Lonchura striata: one gene and its partner. The protein of the gene in region 1 purifies or fractionates together with the protein of each later gene. This does not show direct contact. Links are inferred from orthologs where the notes say so. Each region holds a gene or a part of one and is shown on either strand. Other genes may lie near its edges.

Region 1 (7,219 bases):
TAGACTTCATTACTGTAACAGAGCCTACATGGAATCTTGAAGGTCACACTGAAATTTCAGTCAGTGCACTGTGTTTATATAACAATCTTTCACAATAGCAACATATTATATCTTTTTTCCCCGTATGATAATGGTTTTCCATTTGTTACCTAGTACAGTCCAAGACATGAACTTCAAACTACTAATTCCCCAATGTTTATCTGCCATGTACTTGGAATCAGATCTGTTTTTCTGGCCCACCAGCCAATGTTACTTGGGATGCTCCAGCAAACAACCACCTGATTTACTGGGTGTGGGAAAAACAACCACAAAACCACACAGACTTTCATCTGCAAAATAATTCCATAAGTCTATGGTGGAAAAGGAATTCTGAATAATGAGTAGGTTTTGCAAAAAAATACGAAGTTTTATAAAGGTCACCTGCTTAAAAGAGAGCTTATAGAGGCTTTTGCATCACTGTTCTGAGATTCTTGGGAAGTTTGGGAACCTACATGCAGATGAGTTCTTTCCTTCTAATTCAGCTTTACATGTCATACCATTGGAAAGGTATGACTCCACAAGCTCTTTCAAATGGCTGAAACTTCTTCTCCCCAGGTACCCAGCATGTAAACCAAATTCTTGGTGCAGAATTAAAAAAAAAAAAAAAGTAATTATCCTTCGTATCACTACATTCTACAGCCTGGGAAAGGTCAATTTCCTAAGTATCACAAAACAACCTTTTACAGCACTGGTTAGTTAAGAGATAGACACCCTAATTAAATGGAATATCAGTTTTTGCCATCAATATCAAAGGTAGCCAGCATCAGTGTCACCTAAGACTTCTGAGCCACATACAAAGTAATTAAAGCATTATTATTTTAATATACACACTCACTGAATCTCAACTTCTGTGATGTCTAATTCAACAAGATTGATAATGGCTCCACCCAGATTGCTGGTGAATCATTGGCAACACATCAGAAGTTTCCAAAAGCATTCCTGCTCATTTCTCTTCATCTGCATGAGCACTTTTATATAATAATACATGCCTCAAGATGCCCCTAAATTAAACTCTGTGATATTAATGTCTGCCATTTCCAGATTCATATGTTTATCATATGTCCAGTTTATTCACTGCAACAGCAGTTTTTTAAATTATCAGCATACAACAATCCTGTCAGAAATTTCTAAAATATTTCACTTTAAACAAAACTAGTTTGGATACAAAGCTGACAAAAAAAAACCTCACAAAAACGAACAGCAAAACACCAGAAACCATACAAGTTACTTCCCACTTATGTCAATGAAGGTTCCTGCTGCTCATGTGTGATTGACAAACTCAAGTCTCTGGTTGTCAAAACAGACTGCTCTGATGGTACCTGCCTTTCTAAATTTCCCTCCAAGCAGCCTGTCAGGCTGTCTGCTTTGACAGGCCCTTTTCTAGGACAGGAAGGCAAAGCCATAAGCTATCACTGGGAAAGGAAAACGTGCCTGATAACATCTGCTTCTATTTATGTTAGTGGGAAGCACAATTTCATTATCAGCATTGTGTATTAATGCATTGAAGAAAGCCATGGTGCTCCTGGTGAAGCTTAGAAACTGGCAATAATGTACAAACTGCTCCTGAACACGGATTATTTATATAGCCATGAAGTCCCATATTAGCTTCATTGACTTCAAACACAGCAATACAGACATTTATAGCTGACAAAATTAACCACCTCCACATCCTCATAAGCCTGAAATAAGTAAGAAAACATAAGTTTAGGAATACATTAACTTCTGCCTCAGAGTATTCCTGTATTATCTCACATTTCTATAGCCAAATAATGTGAATAGAGTATAAATGCTGCATTTATCTTCCAGCAGAGTCACTAAATAACAGCACAGTTACAATGATTAAAACAGCTCAGTCACAATCCAGGTTACTTTGAACCTTTTAATTATTTCTGCAAATTTTTAATTTTTTCCCCCACTTCAGCCATTTTCAATATGGCAAAAAAAGACAGAAAACCGTAGCTTCTACTGGAGGAACAAATGATTTGTCACTCGCACTTGACTAAAACGTATAAAAATAAGACACACTCCGGACAAGAAGGCATGTAGATGTAAACAAAACATTCGTAATTCCTAGGAGAAAAAATCAAAACCTGCATCAGCTCCCTGCTTTAAAAGAAGACAGACCTCACAATGGCTTTTGAAGACAAAACCTGACACCAGGACATTCCCAACCATCAAAGCAAATAAAATCCCAGCTATACCAACACCGCACCCCCGGCATGAAACCCTACCCACTCTGTGGGTGTAATCCAACAGCCAAAACAATGCCAGGGTGGAAAAACTAGTGCAAGTCAGGGAGATCCTGTGCGGTTTCACCATCGTTTGTCCCCATGCAGAGGGAGCCGCGGCCACCTCGCTCTTCCCTCAGGCACGACAGACAAAAGAGCCACAACCCAGGGCGGAGAGGTGTCCCGGGGACGGGTAGGGCTCTGTCATTATTTTCCCTCCGTCTCTGTTGTTCAACGCGACACAGGGACGAGTTTTCTCGCGCAGAGGCAGGCAGAGCCCCAGGAAAAAACAACAGCAGGCAGAGGGGGCACACAAAACCCGCCTGTCCCTCGGCCGCCGCAGCCTGAGGCGATGCCGCCTCTCCCCACCCCCAGCCGGACCCAGCCGCCCTCCGCCTCTCCCCCCGTCGGGCACAGCGAGCCGCGGATCCTCCCCGCCCGCCCGAGGCGTTCGGAATCGAGCCCGGCAGGAGCCCGAGGCCTGGCAAGGCACAAAGTCACGGAATTGTTACAAGTAGAAAACACCTCTGGAAATCATCTCGTCCCAACGCCCGCCCCTCCGCCTCCTTTCTCGGCAAGGCGGGCAGAGCTCTCCCGCCCTATTGTTCCCCGCACCCCGCGGCGGAGGCAGCGCACTCACCACGCGGGCCGGGCTTCCTGCAGCGCCCACCGGCCCCCTCAGCTCCGGCACGCCGGGGCTGCCACAGCACCCTGCTGCTGCTCCTCCAGTAGTACACGCGGGCCCCGGGGCAGCGCCGCCATCGCCCGCCGCCGCCCCGCTGCCACTCCGGCAGCGGCCATCTTGTGCGTCGACTGCTCCTCTCACCGCCCACCTCCCTCCCTCTCCCCGCACCACCCGCCCCTTCCTGCGCCCGCCTTCCCCCGCAACGGGGACGCGGCCGGACGGGGAGAACGAGCCGAGTCACGGCCCGGAGCCCGTGAGGGCAGGGCGGGGGAGCTGTCGCCCGTCTCGGGCAGGGTACCTCGCGCTCCCTCAGGGACGGTCTCCGATGTCAGATGCCTTCCTCCTTTCAGGTGGGGTCTCTTTCCCCCCCTCCCACCTCCTCTTGTCATAGCGGGCTCGGGGGTGGAGGTCGAGGCTTTTCACACACGGAGTGGCTCCTGTGTTTTGGGAGCTTGCTGAGGGCCCCCGCCCGCCATTTTCTCTCCCTCAGGAGCCTCTGTTGACGGACCCTACGCTTGCCTCATGCCATCACACCTTATTGCTTCAAGCCGGTTACTTGTCTTACTTCAGTGAAAAATAACACAAATTAAGTTCCCTCTTACGTGGCCGTGCAGGGCAGAGCTTTAGGGGTTTTCGTGCCAGTCCCAAGTGAAGGTGTAGAGATGGATTCGGTGCTGGAGAAGGTCCTCCGTAGCTTTGTGTGCTGCAGGACACAAATCATCCTTAGCTTTAACCAATACCACAGATAAGATGTTTTGGGACCCTCCAAGCTTTCCTGTGTCACAGTCAGATACAGAAGAAATTTTAAAACGCAGTTACAGAATGTCTTGCAGTCACTTACATTGCAGCATTTACTAAGCACGTACTGACAGTTTAAAATTGTTAAAAGAGCTAACTATTGAGCATCAGGATATTTCAAGGTAACATTCACTTTATGCCTGTTTATGAGAATATTAATATGGTGTAAAATTAAAAGGAAGCTATATTTAAAGACTAAAAATGGTATTCAGTGGTCCCATTTTATTGCCCATCTATTTTATCACACCTATGCCCAGCTAAAGGCTCTGTGGGATCAATCCCACTGTGATGCCTTGTACAGGATGCTGTGCAGGGAATCAGTGCTTTTCTATTTTCCTTTAATAACATTGTAAGGAGCACCCAGTGTATTATTGTCAGTTCAGCATCTGAAGTACAGCACTGCATGACCTGGAAATATAAATAGGACATTGTCAAGTCAGAAGTAGCCATGCCCAGAGCCAGGGACTCAAGAGACCAGGCCTGCAAAAGAAAGCCTGGGTTGTGACATGCAGACAGAAGACACAAATTTCTACACACAGAAAAAAAATACATAGGGGACGGTTACTCTTCAGCTTCTATTTCTGACTCTTGTACTGGCCATAGACAGATTTTCATTAACTTTACAAGAAATGTGATGCTAGTAACTAAAAGTGTTATTTCTGTCTGTTTTACTAAAGAAATAATCTCTATTATTTAGGCTTTTCCACCAAAACAACCTTAATATTAATCAAGGATCAGTGTTGAAATAAAATAGTATTAAGAAAAGCTATTAATTTCTGAAAACAGAGTTTTCTAGCCACAGTCAAAGGCATTGCGATCTTATGAACACAGAAGATTAGGATATTTACAAAGAGCACCTTTGACTTAGCAAAAGCTTTACTATGAGCTAGAAAATAAGTGTAAATTGGAAATGGCCAAGGCCAGACAAGACAGGGTTTGGAGCAACCCGGTCTAGTGGAAGCTGTCCCTGCCTGTGGCAGGGTTTGGAACAAGATGAACTTTAAGGTGTTTCCAACCAGTTTGATATTCTGTACCACAGACACTTTCCAAACAATAATCGCCATCTTTTGCAGATGCCTCTTTAAATGTTACAGTAGAAACATGAACCTTGTTGGAGTTGTCAGTGTCCTGAGTAGAAGCAGAAGATGGCATTAGGAATAGCTAAAATGGTAGGTGTTCTTTGCAACCTTGGTTTAATGTCATAGAAGCTGGAAATGGTCAGGGCCTGAATCCTGTTACTTCCCAGTTTCTAGCAAGTGACTGTACAGTGTTCTGATGTTCTGTTCAGTCTGGGTTTTAATATTCCAGTCTGGGGGACTTCTACCACTTTGTCTTTTGGTTCCTGTATTGTGGAAAGGTTTCATTTTTCATGTAGTTTATGTTTTCCCTCAACATTTAAATGCATTACCAGTAGGAACATGCTAACAACAATTTTCAGTACCATGGCATAGGTTACCACAGTAATACATGGCTGAAATTTAAATAAGGGGGATATGAAACCACCTATTGTTCTTATTATGTAACACTGCACAAATGAGCACTTTAATTCTCAAACTCCACTTTAGACTTCCATCAGAGTCATGCTTTTCTAATGTTTATTCTTCATTATGTTTTCTGAAAGTTCAGAAATTTGTAGATTAGCTTGTTCTCTTGTTGGGATCTGATCCCAGTAGATAACTTAGATTACTTTTAGTGTCTGCTTTCCCCAGTTATGCAGCATTTTTTCCTGCATGATACACTGCTTTTAGCATTGGAAACACAAAATGTTATTTGTCTTTAGGACTGCTGTTTTCAAATATCATTTCAGCTTATCATTAAATCAGCTATAATTCATCTCCACTTATTTACGTTGTTCTTTCTTTTATGTTCTTAAAAACCCACAGGAATGAATTTTTCTTCTACTGCATATAGTCTCAGTTTTCAGTTCCTTTGTCTCTTTTTTCCCATCCAAAAGGGGATAATGTGTAGGCATGATTCTAAGATCTGACATTTGTGTCCACACTAGTAATGTTCTTCAAATTATACATTAAAAATTACTTCCCATTTTAGCCTCTATGACTGAGAGAAATACCTAAAATACCAGTATGACTGTCAAATGGTATAATCTCACCATTCAATTTTTATACTACTCCTTCCATATAACTGCTCTAGAGCTGTGGTACCAGGATAGCTGTCTTTAAAAAAAGAAATGTGTGTTTTTTTAAATGTCTTGGCAGTGTTTCAGTTTGCTATTTTAGTTAGCAATGCGACTTATAAAGCTGATAATAAAGGAAAAATTCTCATTCTGAAACCTGTGATATCAGAATGGAAGGCAAGAATTAAATACTTCTTCAGGTGGCTGCAAGCATTTCACACAGTGAAGATTCTTGCTCAAAAACCACAGATTATAAAAAAGAAAATCCTTACCACATGATGCTTGACCATCATGTTAAAACCATCACTTTATCAAACCTTAAATTCCTGCACTTCTATAAAATTCCACTGACAAAAGCAGAAGACTGTATCCATATCCAACATAATCATTGAAAAAGAATCCGATGTTCATTAAAGAGTATGCTGAATGTCATCCAAGCCATGGGATACAGATGCTACTATTGGAGCTAGTTTATATGCTTATTTTAAATAATAAAACACTGTTAGCAAAATACAGCCTTACACTGTGGACATGCTCAGAATCTCCAACAGAACACACAAGGTATCAATTTCTGATGTATAAAAGAAGCCTAGAGGATCTAAAGGAATGTGAAGTCAATATTTCTAAAATGAGCGTTCCTCCTTGAAAGCTTCTCTCCCAAGCATTCACAAATTCACATTTTGCACAAATAAATAATACTATATAACCCACCAAACATCAGATTGGTTTATTTTTTTTTTTCAGTTCTTTGATGCTGTTCATAATAAATTTGTAGAATATCAATACAATTATTAATGTTTGTGTTTCCAGCCTACTTGGAATGCAAAGGTCTATGTAAGTACACTCTCTGACTGCAGCTGCTGTGAAAAAAGAAGAAATTACAAGGAAGGTAAGAAACTCTGTTTTGATTATTAGAGCTTTCACTTCCTTAAGCATCCCATCTCATCATCCTTGTCCCACTGGTGTTGTGGGATGCAGAATGGTGATTCAGGACTATGTGCCCCAGATTCTCCTCCTTATTGCTTTTTTTACTTACATGTCATTGCCTGCTTTGCTGCATTCTCAGACCTTCCAATATCATTCAGCACATCTCCTCTCTTTTTGGGATAAAAATTTTGAAGCAACAGAAAGTACAAGAATTTGCAGCAGAGCAAGTCTGTAGTTACACTAGGCAGAGCAAGGCAGAGGCAGTACCACACCACATCCTTGTCACTCCAGTGCCCTCTGCTGAAGTGACCATGGTGTCCCTTTGACGTCTGAGTCCACTTGGGCAGGGGCAGGAGTCTCTGCCAAGTCCCACATGCTGCCACCTCTTTATCTTGCACTTTACTTCCT
Region 2 (7,301 bases), on another chromosome or scaffold:
CCCAGCCCACCGCTGCCAGGACAAAATGGCCGCGGCGCCGCCTGGCGGGCGCTTAAATAGTGCGCGGGGCATGCCGGGAAAGGGGGCGGGGCGGGAGCGCGGCGCGGCGGAAAAGGCGCGAAAAGGCGCGAGGGGCGCCCCCTGGCGGCTGAGGCCGGGGGAGGTTTGGTTCGGCCGGAATCCGTTCGGTAATTTCCGGCAGCGCTCCGAAGGGTTCGGAGCCGTCAATTAATTCTCATGGCGGCTTGTCTGCTCCGCGCTCCTCCAATCGGGTGTTTCCGGCTGGTTTCGTGGATCCCTCGGGTGTTTCCGTCGCCGCTCGGCTCCTCAGCCCCGCCCACCGCCGCGCTCGGGTGTTTCCGGCACCGCTCGGCTCTCTCCGCCTCCCCAGTAGAGAATCATTCCCCAGACAGAGTCTTCTCATTAGCAGCCTCCAAATTAAGGCTCATTAAGCTCCTCTCTCTAATTACCAGCCCCATCAGCTGCTCGGGAACCCCTATGAACCCCTTCTAGGCCAGCTTCACTCCCAAACCACGCGGAACGCTTCACAACCAACTTTAAAACAAAGTTCAAAAACCCCAGTAAAACACACAAAAATCTCGTAAAGCCCCAAAATGCTGGGAATTGATCCCAAATTCCTTTATTGGCCTCAGGAGTTGGCGTTGGGACCCTTCTTCTTGCCGAAGGTGGGCACGACGTTGACGAAGCGCCGGTTGTACTGCATGCGCCGCTTGGCCCGCCCCGTCTTCTTCTTCTTCTTCTCCTGCTTGGCCACCTGGTTAAATACGGGGGGGTCAGGGGGGTCCCCAAACCCCTGGCGGGGTCCCCAAACCCCCTCAAGCCAGGGGGAGCCCCCTCAGCGCTCACCTTGGGGGTCTGGCCCCTCACTTTGCCGGCGCGGGCGAGCGAGCCGTGCACCTTACCTGGGGGGAGGAAGAAAATGGGGGTGTTGGGGGGGGTCGTTTTGTTAATTAACACCCCGGTAATTAGCGGCCCCCCCCGGAATTACCGCCCAGCAGGCGCGTGGAGAGGTCCAGGGTGGTGAATTCGGGGAGGGGGCTCTGCCCCAGCACGGCCTCATCGTCCAGGGGGGTCCCAGCGTGCAGCAGCAGCTGCTCCTCGGCGGGGATCCCCGAAAGCTCGGCCACCCTCTCCTGGGGAGGGGGGCAGAGAGAGGGGGTCAGCACCCCAAAATCAGGGTGGGATTGGGGAATGGGACAGCCCGAATCTGGGGGCTCACCTTGATCTGGGCGAGGGTCTCGGAGCCGGAGAGCTCGAGGGTGAGGAGGGTCTGGCCGCGAATGAAGAGCTGCATGGTGGCGGCTGGGGAGGGGGGAATTAGGCGGTGAGGGGGGTCCCCAAAACCCAAAAATGGGGGGGAACCCCCTGGGAATGGGGGCAGATCAGGGGAAGGGAGGGAGCTGAGGGAGGAGTGGTTTGGGGGTGATTCAAGGGTTATTTTTTGGGAGGTGAGTGGTGGCTTTTGGGGGTGACAGGAGTAGATATTGGGGGCTGTGGCAGTTTTGAGGTGTTTCTGGGGGGCTGTGGCTGTTTTGGATGGGATTGTGGCAGTTTTGGGGTGTGTTCTGGGGTACTTCTGCTGGTTTGGGTGGGATCATGGCAGTTTTGGGGTGTTTCTGGCTATTTTGGGTTGTTTCTGGGGGGCTGTGGCAGTTCTGGGGTGTTTCTGGGGGACTATGGCTGTTTTGGGGTGTGTTCTGGGGTACTTCTGGCTGGTTTGGGTGGGATCATGGCAGTTTTGGGGTGTTTCTGGGGGGCTGTGGCAGTTTTGGGGTGTTTTTGGCAGTTTTGGGGTGTGTCCTGGGGTGTTTCTGGTTCTTTTGAGTGGAATCCTGTCACTTTTGGGAGCGTTTTCCAGTACTTCTCCCACCCCCCGGACTTTGTCACCTGGCCGGGGGCCATGGGGACAAAGGGCCGTGCTGGGGGTGGGGACACACTGGGGGTCACCGGCAGCACCCTTGGGTGCCCCCCACCCTCAGAGCTGCCCCCCAACGACCCCTCAAGGCCTCGAGGGCCCGCCCTTCACCCCCAAACCTTTGCAGCCCCCTCAGAACCCCCCCAAACCCCCTCCAGAGCCTTCCCAGCTGCTCCTGCAGCCCCCCCAAATCCCCAATAACCCTCCAGACCCCCCCACACCTGAATCCCCCTCAGAGCTCCCCAAACACCTCCCCAGACCCCCAAACACCCCCCAATCCCACAAAAGATGCCCCCAAACTCCTCCAGAAAGCCTCCCCACCACAAACCCCCTCAGGATCCTTCCCTGAACCCCTCCCGCCCCCAGCAACGCCCCCGTGAGCCCCTCCAGAACCTCCACAACGCTGCCCCCCACCTCAAACCCCCTCAGAGCCGCCACAAGCCCTCCCCGGAGCCCCCAGAGCCCTGAGATGCCCCCCAGAGCCCTGAGATCCCCCCGAATTCCCTCCCCGGAGCCCCCAGAGTCCTGAAATTCCCCCCAGAGCCCTGAGATCCCCCCCAGAGCCCTGAAATCCCCCCCGAATTCCCTCCCCGGAGCCCCCAGAGCCCTGAGATCCCCCCGAATTCCCGGCCCGGAGTCCCCAGAGCCCTGAGATCCCCCCGAATTCCCGGCCCGGAGCCCCCAGAGCCCTGAGATCCCCCCCAGAGCCCTGAAATCCCCCCGAATTCCCTCCCCGGAGCCCCCAGAGCCCTGAGATCCCCCCCAGAGCCCTGAGATCCCCCCGAATTCCCTCCCCGGAGTCCCCAGAGCCCTGAGATCCCCCCGAATTCCCGGCCCGGAGCCCCCAGAGCCCTGAGATCCCCCCCAGAGCCCTGAGATCCCCCCGAATTCCCGGCCCGGAGCCCCCAGAGCCCTGAGATCCCCCCCAGTTCCCGCCCGGCGCCCCCGGCCCGGCCCCACCTCAGCGGCTCCCTCAGGGCTGCGAGCGTGTGCGCGGGGAGCGCGCTGACGTCACGTGCGCGCGCTGACGTCACGTACGTGCGCGCTGACGTCACGCGGCGGGAAGGCGGAGGGGAAGAAGGAGGAGCCAAGATGGCGGCGCTGGCGGCGCTGGGCCGGAGGCTGCGGGCGCTGGGCCGGGGGCTCAGGGGGGTGCAGGTACCCTGGGGCGGGGGTTTGGGGTGGGAGGGGCTCGCTGGGGAGCTGTGAGGGGGGAGTTGGAGTGCGGGGTTTGAGGGGTGAAGGGGGATTGGAGCCTGAGGGGAAACTGGGGAGGGAGGCAGGGTTTGGGGAAAGAAACTGAGGGGGGGAATGCAGAGGGGAGATTTGGGGGGTTCCTAAAAAGGGAGAGGGGAACTGGGGGTTTTGAGGTGGAGAAATGGGGGAGGGCGATTTGGGGGTCTCAGGGATTTTTGGGGGAGGTCTCTCAGGGATTTTTGGGGGAGGTCTCTCAGGGATTTTGGGGGTCTCTCAGGGATTTTGGGGGGTCTCTCAGGGATTTTTCGGGGAGGTCTCTCAGGGATTTTGGGGGTCTCTCAGGGATTTTGGGGGGTCTCTCAGGGATTTTTGGGGGGTCTCTCAGGGATTTTTGGGGGTCTCTCAGGGACTTTTGGGGGGTCTCTCAGGGATTTTGGGGGGTCTCTCAGGGATTTTTCGGGGAGGTCTCTCAGGGATTTTGGGGGGTCTCTCAGGGATTTGGGGGGGTCTCTCAGGGATTTTTGGGGGTCTCTCAGGGATTTTTGGGTCCCACAGACCCCGGCCAGGCCCCCCGGCTATCAGGAGTCCACGGCTGAATTTGGGTTCGTGGAGCGGCTGCTGCCCCCCAGCCGCGTCCCTGAGCCCCCCCCGCACCCCAAATACCCGACCCCGTCCGGCTGGAGCCCCCCCGCAGGTCGGTAATTACCCGGGCTCATTAGCTGGGGGTAATTAGCGCTGGGGGTAATTAGAGGGGGTGATTTACCCCGAAGCAAGAATCACCGGGGTTCTTTATCAGTTAATTTATCCTGGGGGAGCTTCATGACTTTGTGGGAGGTGTTTAATTACCTTGGGGGGCTTAATTACCTTGGGAGCTTGTTAATTACCCCCGTGTGGTGTTAATTACCCTGGGGTTAATTACCCAAAACACTCTCTTCAAGAGGGAATCATCTCAGCCCAAAGAGCAAAGAAGATTTATTTACCCCAAAGTGAATTGGGCCGGGGTGGGTTGAATTTCTTTGGGGGGGTGTTAATTACCCCCAGACAGTGTTAATTATTCCTTGGTGGGTATTAATCACCCCGGGGAGGACTCCAAAATATTTCCTTGAAGGAGAAATTAGTGAATACCAAACTACGCAGAGAAGTGAATTTAGGCGTGGTGGCTGTTAATTCACTTGGAGGGGTGTTAATTACCCCCAGATGCTGTTAATTACCCTAGGGGGATGTTAATTACTCCTTGTCGAGTGTTAATTACCCCTTGGTGAGTATTAATTACCCCGGGGAAGGCTCCAAAATATTTCCTTGAAGGAGAAATTAGTGAATACCAAACTACGCAGTGAAGCAAATTTAGGCGCAGTGAAATGAATTTAGGCGGGGTGGCTGTTAATTACCCCCGGGGGCTGTTAATTACCCCCGGGGGATGTTAATTACCCCCGGGGGTGTTAATTGCTGCAGGGCCCCCCCCGGAGCTGCCCTACTTCGTGCGGCGCTCGCGCCTGCACAACCTGCCCGTGTACGAGGGGCAGCGGCAGGGCCGGCGCCTGACGGAGCTGCGCCACATCCACGGCGACATCTGGGTGAGTCGGGGGAGGTTTTGGGGGTCCCCGGGGGTCTTGGGGGGCTCCCCCTGACCCCCGCGACGCCCCCCAGGCGCTGCAGCGGGACCTGAGCGCGTTCCTGGGCTCCCTGGGGGTCCCCGAGGTGCCGGCGCAGGTGAACGAGGTGACGGCGACGCTGCGGCTCCGCGGGCACTGGGGGCCGCAGGTGCGGCAGTGGCTGCTCCAGACGGGCTTCTAGAGACCCCAAAAGCTGCCCGGAGGACCCCAAAACTGCTGCAGGACTCCAAAATCTGCCCGGGAGATCCCAAAGTCTGCCCGGGATCTGCTGTGGATTCGGCTGGAGCATCCCGAAATGGAGCCTGGGCAGCGCAACAGCTCCTGGGGGCACCTTCAGATCCACCTGGAGCACCCCAAAATCAGCTTGGGGCACCTCCAGATCCACCTTGGCCTCCTAAGATCTGTTTGGGGCACCTCTAGATCCACCTTAGCACCCCAAAATGTATTTGGGGCACCTCCAGATCCACCTAGAGCAGCCCAAAATCTCTTGGGAGCAGCTCAAAATTCACAGGGAGCCTTGGAATCCACCTGGGCACCTCCAAATTCACCTGGAGCACCCCAAAATCTGCCTGGAAGCTGCTGGGGACAGCCACAAATCCTTCTGGAGCACCCCAAAACCTGCTGGGGGTACCTCAAAATCCACACTGGGGTTCCAAAATCCACCTGGGTCACCCCAAAACCCACAGAGAGGATCTCAAAATCCACTTTGGGGTAGCCCAAAATCTGCTGGAAGCTGCCCCAAAACGGAATAAACGCCTCATAAATGAGGGTAACTCCTCACAGCCTCTTTATTTACAATGCCCACCCCCCAAATTTTGGGGAGGGGTCCCCCAGTCTGTGCAGGGGCGTGGGGAGTGGCTGCAGCACCAGGGGCTCTGGTGGCCACCGGGGCTGGAGCTGTGCTGGGGAGGGATAAAAGGGGAGGGGGATCAGCCTGGGGACCCCCCTGGAGACCCCAAAACCCCCCCCAAAAACCCCACCTGGTACCAGTACTTGTAGGAAGGGTTGGGGTCACCTCCTGAAAAGTTGAGGGGTCCCAGGAGCCCCAAGGGGTCGTCAGGTTTTCTGAGCTGGGGGGGAAATGGGGAAAATTTGGCAGAAATGTGGGGGAAAAGGGGAAAAAATGGGAAAATGTGAGGGAAAATGCGGAGGGAGCTGAGATAAGAGCAGGGGCCAATTTTGGGATTGATTTTGGGGCTGATTTGGGGCTGACTGGTGCCAATTTTGGTGCTGATTTGAGGCCAATTTTGGGCTGGTTTCGGGCTGCTTTGGGCCTGATTTTGGACTGGTTTGGGTCCAATTTTGGGACCGATTTGGGGCCGATTTCAGGGTCCCGCGGGGAGCCCCCAGCCCCATTTCAGGGTCCCCTCAGAGCCCCCAAATCCCCCCCAGACCTCTCCAAGCCCCCTCAGATCTCGCCCAGCCCAGCCCCTCCCTCACCCCAAATCCCCTCAAACGCCCCAAATTCCCTCAAATCCTCCCCAAATCCCCAAATGGCCGGCGGGAGGAGCCGAGCTTTACTGCAACCTTTATTGTATTTACACCGGAGCTGGTAAAAATTTGTACATTATTTACAAATTAAATAATTCCGCCACCGCTTCGGGGGGAAAAGGAGAGATTTTGGGGTCCAGCACCCCCCGGAACCATCCCTCCCCCTCCCCGTGGCTTCACCCCGAAACGAGGGGATTTTTTAAGGAATCCACCCAAAAAAACCCTCAAACAGACCCAAAAGAAATGATGATTTTGGCTCAAAATGGGGAAAAAAACAGCATGGAAGGGTTCAAAATCAACTCCCCAAAGCGGCGCCGTTTCGTTATTGCCAAATTCCTCACAAGCCACTCAAACTGGGGCCAAAAGTGCCCAAAAAATTAAAGGAAGAAAGGAAAAGAATCCGCCTCAAACCCGAAAATCCCAATTTGGCTCCTTTTTGCCCCAAGTCTCCCCCCCCAGCCCGTTTTGGTGCAAAAGCGCCGTTTTCCATCGATTCCGGCCGCGGGGTTGTGGATTTTTGGTTTTTCCCTGAGAATTTGGGGTTCCAGAGGCACTGGGGGCGCGGCCGGCCCGGAATTGCGGCGGGATTTGGGCCAAAAGCGCCCGGAATTGGGCAAAAGTCAGCGAGAAACTGCAACCCCGGCCGTGGCCAACCAGTCCAAACCAGTTTGGGACTGGGGGGGTGTGGGGCGAGGGGTTAATACTGTTAATCGGGGGGCAGAATTCCCAAAATTCCAGGGGGAACCCAGAAATTCCATGGGGGGGACCCAAAATTCCCAAATTCCTGGGAAAATCCCGAAATTCCCATGGGCAGGACCCAAACCGGGGGAGGGGGGGGGGAGGGGTGCCCTAAAATTCCATCTGGGGACCCCCGAAATCCCAAGGAATGTCCCCAAAATCCTCAGGATAGCCCCACAATTCCCATGGGAGGGGACCCCAAAATCCCAGGGGGGTCCCGAATTCCCTGGGCCGGGTGAGGTCAGAGGTCAAAGCCCCCCCAGCGTGGGTTTGGGGAGGGGGGGACACCCTGAAACCCTAAGGGAACAACAGGGACCCGACCCTGG

The links. The genes of interacting proteins can lie anywhere in the genome.
Region 2: the proteins of RC3H1 (region 1) and FAU purify together in Homo sapiens (affinity purification with mass spectrometry; 3 studies listed by BioGRID, with this or other methods). This does not show direct contact. The link is inferred for Lonchura striata from reciprocal best matches to the Homo sapiens genes RC3H1 and FAU.

The regions. Positions count from the first base shown.
Region 1 is NC_134611.1:27,340,175-27,347,393, reverse strand, and holds the start of RC3H1 (roquin-1), read right to left. Parts: upstream 3,098-7,219; 5' UTR 2,908-3,097; intron 1-2,907. UniProt on the Homo sapiens protein: Post-transcriptional repressor of mRNAs containing a conserved stem loop motif, called constitutive decay element (CDE), which is often located in the 3'-UTR, as in HMGXB3, ICOS, IER3, NFKBID, NFKBIZ, PPP1R10, TNF, TNFRSF4 and in many more mRNAs.
Region 2 is NC_134638.1:178,724-186,024, forward strand, and holds FAU (ubiquitin-like FUBI-ribosomal protein eS30 fusion protein), read right to left. Parts: upstream 2,966-7,301; 5' UTR 2,897-2,965; intron 1,324-2,896; 5' UTR 1,316-1,323; coding exon 1,241-1,315; intron 1,155-1,240; coding exon 1,010-1,154; intron 924-1,009; coding exon 868-923; intron 776-867; coding exon 650-775; 3' UTR 616-649; downstream 1-615. Other genes in the region: MRPL49 (large ribosomal subunit protein mL49), read left to right, coding at 3,029-3,094, 3,689-3,827, 4,586-4,707, 4,781-4,927.